Ovis aries: one gene and its partner. The main gene of each other region encodes a partner of the protein of the gene in region 2 in a complex. Links are inferred from orthologs where the notes say so. Each region holds a gene or a part of one and is shown on either strand. Other genes may lie near its edges. The genes, in order: EHD1 and MICALL1.

Region 1 (3,799 bases), on a different chromosome or scaffold from region 2:
GGATTTTAGAATCCCCATTGAGCCAGGACCTTGAGTTCCTTTAGAAAAAAGTGAACCAGGCTGTAGCGCTCCTGAGAGAGGAGGCTGATGTATTTCATTCATAGGGTCCTGAAGGTTAGACCTTTACAGGGTTACCCTCATTTACCCATTGAACTGGGAAACAGAGGCCCAAGTAGGTTAGGGAACATCCTAGGGAGTTTACAGGGGATTCCAGGGCTCCAGGGGCCATGGCCTGGCAACACAGACCCTTACCCCAGAAACCTTTACAGCAGCACAGGCCCTTCAGAGCTGCCCCTAGAAGAAGTGCTGGTGCTCCCCTCTGTCTGCTGCCTCTGCAGGCCGCCCCAAACTCAGCAGGCCACAGCAGATCTCCCCTGTCCCTCCTCCACAAACCACCAGTCTCCAGGGAGGCACACCACACTAGCAAAGTGAATGGCTAAAAGTTTCACTGTATTTTTCCAGGACACTTAAGAAACAGACCCTTGAAGGGAGGGGGTGAGGGAGATTGGTCTCAATGAATTAGGTGCGCCCAGCCTTAGTGAAGGAGGTGGAAACCAAGACTAGCTGAGGGATGTGAGGAGTCTGGGATCTGCCAGGGTCGAGGGTTGGGAGTTAAACCGATAACCTGGGAAATTCGGGGGAGGGGAGCGGAGGGAGACAGAGCTGCGGAAGCCGGCGACACCTACTCGCAGACCCCCTTGGTAAGGGTTTTCTTTGGAAAGTGGCAGGGGACCCAGTTCCGGGGAGTGGTCGCTGAGGGGGTCTCGCGGGGGTTTCGGACAAAGAACAGCGTGGGCAGCGGTCACTGGACTGTCGGGACCCCGGCGGCCCCCTCCCCCACATCCCGGGTCGAGGGGGGGCTACCTGTTGAGGAAGGCGTTGCCGAAGGCGTTGAGCTTGCGGAAGGGCCGCCGCGGGTCGACGACGAGCGCGTTGCCGGGCACCACGCCCTCGGTGGGGCCGTGCATGACCGCGATGAAAGAGTCGGTGGTGGGCTCGGGCCCGATGCGCATCCCCGGGAAGTCCTGCTCAATCAGGTGCCGGATGAAGGTGGTCTTGCCCGTGCTGTACTGGCCCACGAGGAGCACCATGGGCTTGTTGTCGAAGTCGGCGTCCTCCAGCGCGGGCGAGTGGAACTCGTGGAAGCGGTAGTGCTCCTCCAGGGGCAGCAGCTTCTGCGCGTACAGCTGCCGCAGCCCCTCGGACACCGTCTGGAAGAGCTCCGGCTCCTTCTTGCGGCGGGCATCCTTGCTGACCCAGCTGAACATGCTGCTGGACACCGGGCTGGCTGCTGCAGGGCAAAGGGGCGGCTGAGAGCCGGACGAGGACGCGGAGTCGAGGCTGGGCCGGGCCGGCCGGCTGAAGGGGCGGTGGGGCAGGGGGGCGGGGAGCGGCCCGCACTGCGCAGGCGCACGGCACGGCCGGCCGAGTGCCCTTCTGCACAGTGGAACGCGCGCCTAGACGTGCGCTCTTTATAAGGCCCGGCCGCGCGTTCGAACGCGCGCGCCGCCGCCACTCGGGGTCGCAGGGAACTGGGAGAGGGAAGAAGGAGCCCCGCCCGCGCGCTCCGCGCCACGTCTTCCCCTCCCCCGCCTCTCATTGGCCGATTGCAAATCTCGCGAGCTCCGCTAGCTCCGCTGCGCTCCCCGCCCCCCCCCGCCCTGGCCCGGGTGCCGTGGCAACCGCACCTGTTTCGCCCCGCCCCTTCGGGGGCGGCTCGCGGAAGTGCTGCGGTCGCGAAGGCGACTGGGCGGAGTGCGGCGCGCGGAGGTCCCAGTGTCTGCACGTCTTCCTCCCCCGCGAGATTCACAGTTGGACACCCCAGTACCCTGAATACGCGCCCTACCCGCAGCTCCCTCAATGGGCGGCCCTCCTCCTCCCACTCAGAATCCCCAGAAGCAGGGGAGAACCCCGGGTGCCATGCGCCTCCTGTCTGCACTGCCCTTCCTTGCCGCCTCCTCTCGCCCCTGCTTCCCTGACACTGCTTCTCATCCCCTCGTCTTTTATCTGCTCTGGGAGAGGGAGAGACAGGAATGAGGTAGTGGAGAAAGCTGAGAGAGTAGACCCTCCAAGGCGGGGTGGTGACTGGGGAAATAAAGATGGGAAGGGAGGAGGCTGGTGGAGAAAGTCTGAGCCGTCGCAAGAGACCTGAGCTCCCCACAGGCCAGGAATTGGGAGCTGGACGCTAGCAGTGGAGGACACATATGACAGAACACGTGAGGGAGAAGAGACCGCCTCCCTCAAGAGGCTGCTTCTGAGGGTGGGGAAGTGGGATGAAGAAGTTAGGCCCTCTGGCACTTCAAGTTTTGAGGAAGTTAATCAGAAATTCCCTATGTAGGGTGGAGGGGAAACGTGGGGCAACAGTGAAATCTTGTGGGAACCCAGGGGGAATTAAAAAACCCAAATACTTCCGCTTTCCTCTCTGGGTCACCACCAGTTACCATGCTTTACTCTGACCTGTGCTTCTTCCCCTTACCAGTTCCTGGCTCTTCCCTTAGGCTCATTCCCCCACCATCATCCCGGGCCACACATAGGTCCCCTTGGCTGTCCAGGCTGGTGAGAATCTTCAGTGGGTGATGTCAGAGCTCTGGGGACTGATTGTTATGTAACCGGTACCAGGACACCAAAGTGGCAGGGGTGGTGGTGAGGGAGGCGCTCCTGGATAGATCTAAAATGCACCTGGGAGCGTGAAGGCCTCCCCCATCCAGCTTTCTGGCTGCTGGGAAATGTGGGAACCTGGAGGGCTGGGTGCCTGTTATCAGGCACCTGTTATCAGGGAAGAGAGCAGGCTGGCAGGCTAAAAGGACAGATGCAGGAACTCAAATCTGAGAATCAGCAGAATATCAGGGGAGCTGAGTCAAGTGGGAACCAGAGGGGGCCAGATGGGAGTTTTGCTCACCCACCCCTTGTAGGATCAGGTCTCAGTGTCTTCTGAGGGAATAAACCACATTAAATTGATTGCCTTCCCCCCCCCCCCCCCCCACCTCACCCCATTAGGGAGCGGCTGAGTAATTCCAGCCCTGACTGCAATCTTAGCTTTCTGACTTAACTGCTTTTATTTGGGACTTCATTAGCATTCTTTTCATCAATCACAGTAAAACACAGAAACCACGAGACTCTGGCTTTCTCCTCAAAAGAGGATATTGAGACTCCTAGGCAGGGCTGTCACCCATCCAGACTTCCGGGGCCAGCCTTAGAAGCCAAAAGGACTTGCTTCCTTCATAGTACTTTGAGGGGTCCGCCCCGGAGATGCGACTTCTGGGGTGTTCCAGGGAAGGGCCTGAGGCGGAGGATCCTGAAAGAGGTGGTTGTCTAATGGCCTGATGAGGGTGCCCGAGCTTGTCCCAGTAGCTCTGACACTGACCTGTCATGATTTTCACGTCTCCCTAGAGCCTTGTATGCTGGGAAAACCCAGTCCTAAAAAACGGAAAACAAAATGTTCCCAGGTTATTTATAAATGAAACCAGCCCCTGTTGGTTATGTATGGCCACTTGACTTTCTCCAAGGACTCAAAGGATTGGAAGAAGGGATCTCTCTCCCTTACGAGGCTCAAGTGTGTGGAAATTAGTTTGCCCAGTTTCACTGAGTTGCCACCTGGGTCCTGGGCGGCTTCTGTATCTAGTGATGCCCCAGACTGAAAATGTCCTAACTTTCTTTCCTTTTTTAATTTTTTTGTAGGCTAGTTTCTATTTGGTGGGAAGGTTTCATCAGACATGAATGAACCATTTCACTTTTGGTTTCTCCCGTTTTACTTTCTGTTTTTGCCTGGTTCCCTGACAAAAGGGTAAAGAAGAATTCA
Region 2 (4,218 bases):
CAGCTCGCCTCTGAGGCCTGGGGGCTGAGATGTCTGCCCACAGGAGTTGCATCCCAGGCCTGGCACACAGCATGCAGCAGTCCCCACAACTCTGACAACCACAGGCCTCACGCTCTCCAGTATCCTGTCATTTTCCCGTCCCCGTAAATCAAAGTATTTCAGAAATTTCAACCAAGCCTCCCACTTGGAGGGATTCATATAATCCTCTCAGGCCACATGATCCCAGTTGGGGTTTGCAGAATCAACATGGTCCTGCAGCCACAAACAAAACAGAGAGGACCAGCTCAAGGGCTGGGGCTCTGGAACATTCCACGGGGAGCCTGTGTCCACAGTCCCTCAAGAAGCCAAGGGCTCAGGGCGCAACCTGAGGAGGACGGCCGTCCTCTACCTTGAAGGCCGCAACACGCGGCCCAGAGGCAGTGAACTGGAGAACCCGGGCCAGAGTCAGCCCACTCTGACACGGTAGGACATACCCTTGATTTCAGTTCAAGTCAGTTTTACAAAGTACACACACGCTCCACTGGATTTCCAGTTTCTTTTGAAAAATGCAAAGATCTGGTCCCATTGGGCCCACATCCCACAGGCTACAGTTGACTTGGGTGAGGGACAACCTCTCCCTGTGGTTGCGGTGTGTCTACCCCAGTTCACCCCAGTCCCTGCCACCCAGGTGTCCTGACACCAAGGCAGCCTGACGGGGCCGCCCTGCAGGACGCACCCAGCCAGGGCTCACCCAGCCGAAAGGCGCTGGAGCTGGTGACCCCCGTGGCAGGCCAACAGGCCTGTCAGCAAGGAGACGGTCGGAGGCAGCACTGGTCCCGGCAGAGGAAGGCGTCCTGCCCAGCGGCAGGGAGAGAGGGGCCAGGGCCCCCGGCGGTGGACAGCCCCTCCACGCCCTCCTGGGCCAGCAGAGATGCCGGCCAAGAGGCACGGCGGAGGCAGGGAAGAAGGGAGGCCTGGTAAGCGGAGGGCGGCCCAGGGCTGCAAGGCACTGGCAGCTGAGGTGGTCTCTGTTTATTGTCAGTGAGGAAAACCCTCTCAAGTTAATACAGTGTGATCTTTCCCTGGAGGTGTGCTGAGGGAAGGGCCCTAAAGGCACCCTGGAAATAGCTTATAGCAACAGTGCTTTGCCCCAAGAGCTGCTGGGCACGTCCCCTGGGGTGAAGGTGCTGGTCCCCATCGGCTCCTCCTCTCCCACAGCCGTCCCAGGGGGTGAGCGGCCATCAGTCCTTTGGAGGCAACAGAGTCAGGAGGGAACAGACAACAGGCGCCTGTGAGGAGACAGGCTGGTGCTGACCACCAGGGGCGGGTCCGCCGCACCCCAGCCCTGGGGTGGTGGCGAGAGCCCACGGGAGGGGCCAGGGCCATGGTGTGGGGTAGAGGGCCAGGGTTAGCACCTACAGGCAGCACGCCTGCCTGCTGCTGGTCTGGGGCCCGCCCACCTCCCCCGAGGCCCACCCTTGGGGGGCTCAGCTCCCGGGCACCCCACCCGCCCCAGCACCCTGTCTCAGGCAGGGAGACTTCCTGCAGAATGAGGGGAGGTGAGGGAAGCACCTCCTAAGACTTCGAGGAACAAAGGGAAGGGTCTGTCCATGAGGCCCCTTCAGGTCTTGAGGACACAGTAACTACCTCCAACTTTAATTAAGAGACTTCATAAATAGAGCTCCTGAGTGCGGAGAGAGAGAGGCAAGGCTGCCTGCCCTGCCAGGATGACAGGGACTCAGACCCAGGACGGCAGGTAGCGGGAAGGGGCCGGCGTGGCCGAGTCTGGCTTGCCGACCTGCCCAGAGGGCAGGAGACCCAGGCCAGAGGGTCCACCACGGGCAGACCCTCATAGGCAGACAGACCCTCTGCTCCCCTCCGCACGAGGTACAGGAGTGAAGCGGGACCAAGGGCAGGGGCTTGTGGGACGAGACCCTGCTCGCTCCTGGGGTCGGTCACAGCATCTGGAGTCAGGAGAGCCAGGCGGGGGGCTCAGAGGAGAGGGAAGAAAAACTCTTTGGCCCAGACCAGCCAGAAGACCCTGAGGAGGGAGAGGCCATCACCCAGAGGCTCCCTCCCCTAAGTCATCTTTCCTCTTGACTGATCCTGAAGGGACACAGAAGCTCCCCCCACCGCCCCGCAGAGCGCAGCCAGTGCAGGGGTGGTGTCCCCAGCTGGCAGTCTGCACCGTTAGCTCCTGTCTCCGGGGCACTTGCTCTTGGTATCACGCTTGTTTCCTAGCAGCTTCAGCACCTTCATGGTCTTGAACTTGCCCTTCTTCTTGCCCTCGGACTCAGCCTCCTTCTGGAACTCTGCAGAAGGGAAAGGGCAGTCGATTGGGGCGGGCCAGGGAGTGGCAGCCAACAGTCTCAGCCCACCACCACCCCCACATCGCCTGGAACCATGGACATGTCCCTTCATCCTTTTGCGTCTCCAGTTCTGCACCTCTAGGATGGGACCCCACCCCTTCCCAGCATTTCGGTAGGCATCGGGACACGAAGGCAGTGGGGGAGCCCTAGAGCACGGCTGATGTTTTATCTCGAAAAGCCTCTATTCCTCTACAGCTCTGTGGCTCACAACACAAACACTGACTGTCAGAGCTAGAAGAAACCGCAGAAGTCATCTGGCCCAGTCCCTCACTTATTATGGACAAGGAAAATGTGAGTTTGAAACAGATTACCACCAGCCAAGCTTTTTGTGGGTGCCAGGCCATGGCTAACTGCTTTATACAGGTTATCTCAGTCATCCTCAGTACCCGCCCGGGAGGTGGGTGCCTCTGTTCACCCCCATCCTGCAGACAAGGAGAGTGAGGCCTGAAGGGGTGAAGCGCTGGCACAAAGCCACCCAGCTGGGACACATCAGAGCTGGGACCAGATTCCAGTCTAACTGGAGCCCAGACGGAACCGCAAGGCCACAAAATGAATCACTGAGGGAACCAAGATTAGGCCCAGGCCTCCTGACTCCCAGTCCAGTGCTCTCTCATCTTCTCCAAGGGCGGGAGTTAGGGGACTGCTCTTTGAACCCACAGACCCCTCCTGAACCAGCTGCGGATCTCAAGGAGGAATGCACAGCTCAAGGCAGACATACCCTGGGAAAGGGCCCCATACGCCACCACCCTCCCTGTTGGTACCACAGCATTCCACACCCATCTTCCTGGCCATAGGTTGGCCTGCCTTGCTACACATGGCCTTCTTGGCAAAAAAAAGGCTTGCACACACTGTCCCTGTGGGTACCCCTTCCAACGCTGTGTTCAACCGGCCCCCCCACCCTGCAGGAGTTCAAGCGGGCCAGAGCCCCAGGAGGGGCCTCACCTTTCTTCTTGATCATGGCTTCCAACATCTTATCTTCCTCTTCCTCCCTGAAATGAGACAGGGAAGCTGAGTGTCCCACAGGAGGAAGGGCCAGATAATCTCTCAGGCCCCTCCAGACTCTCTGAGTCCACACAGGCTGAGCAAGGGGGAGCTGAGATGGTTGGCAGTGAAGGTCTCATCCCCAAGGAAGCCCTGGGAGCCCTGTCCCCAGCCAAGTCACCTCTGCCGGTCCTCGTCCAGGCAGTTGACGATGGCGTTGCGCTGCTCGATGAGGGTCACGAGCTCTTGCATCAGCACCTTCTCTCGGCCCCGGTCCTCCTCTGTCCAGTCCTTTTCTGCTCAAGGAGAAAAGCTGGGGACATGAGGCCCAGGAAGCAAGGAACCAACACCTAAGTGCTAAGGGTGACTGCCAATCAGCCCCACGCTGGACACCATGAGAACAAGGAGAAGCCCAGATGGGTGGGGATTACAGTTTTTGGAGAAACGGAGGTTGTTGCAGAAGAGACCAAGAATACCAGTCTGCCTACCAAAGAGACTCTCCCAGGGGGCTCTGAGAGGACCAGTACAATGCAGGCTCTGCGAAAAGAGAGCAGCATGGCCCAAAGAGCTTCCTGTTTATGTAAACCAGTTTTCCTGGTTGCGTTCATGCAACCAGTGTTCACTAGGTGGTTTCTTGGGGGAGGCAGGATTAGGGCTGGGCCTGCTAAGAGTTTCCAATGGCGGGCTGGTGGGAGTGGGGAGATACCAGGGAACCCCAGGGAGCACATACAGGAGAAGCAACGTGACCCAAGAGGCATCCTCGGACACCCATCTAATGCCAGGAAGGAGGGGGGACTAGAATGGACCCTGGGGGTTGGGAGACCTGCCAGGAAGTGTCCCTGATATCTCAAACACCTGCTGCCCTCCCCGCCCCCATCTCCTGATTTCA

The links.
Region 1: the proteins of MICALL1 (region 2) and EHD1 are in contact, whole or in part, in an NMR structure (PDB 2KSP), measured with the Homo sapiens proteins. The link is inferred for Ovis aries from reciprocal best matches to the Homo sapiens genes MICALL1 and EHD1. Residues at the interface, in NP_203744.1 of Homo sapiens: Lys422, Tyr424, Asn425, Pro426, Phe427, Glu428, Glu429; in NP_001269373.1 of Homo sapiens: Gly464, Ala467, Lys468, Met471, Asn478, Leu481, Gly482, Trp485, Lys486, Lys492, Asp493, Gly494.

The regions. Positions count from the first base shown.
Region 1 is NC_056074.1:39,552,692-39,556,490, forward strand, and holds part of EHD1 (EH domain-containing protein 1), read right to left. Parts: 5' UTR 1,269-3,799; coding exon 865-1,268; intron 1-864. UniProt on the Homo sapiens protein: ATP- and membrane-binding protein that controls membrane reorganization/tubulation upon ATP hydrolysis. In vitro causes vesiculation of endocytic membranes. Acts in early endocytic membrane fusion and membrane trafficking of recycling endosomes.
Region 2 is NC_056056.1:215,564,387-215,568,604, reverse strand, and holds the end of MICALL1 (MICAL-like protein 1), read right to left. Parts: intron 3,626-4,218; coding exon 3,511-3,625; intron 3,338-3,510; coding exon 3,291-3,337; intron 2,292-3,290; coding exon 2,170-2,291; 3' UTR 522-2,169; downstream 1-521. UniProt on the Homo sapiens protein: Lipid-binding protein with higher affinity for phosphatidic acid, a lipid enriched in recycling endosome membranes. On endosome membranes, acts as a downstream effector of Rab proteins recruiting cytosolic proteins to regulate membrane tubulation.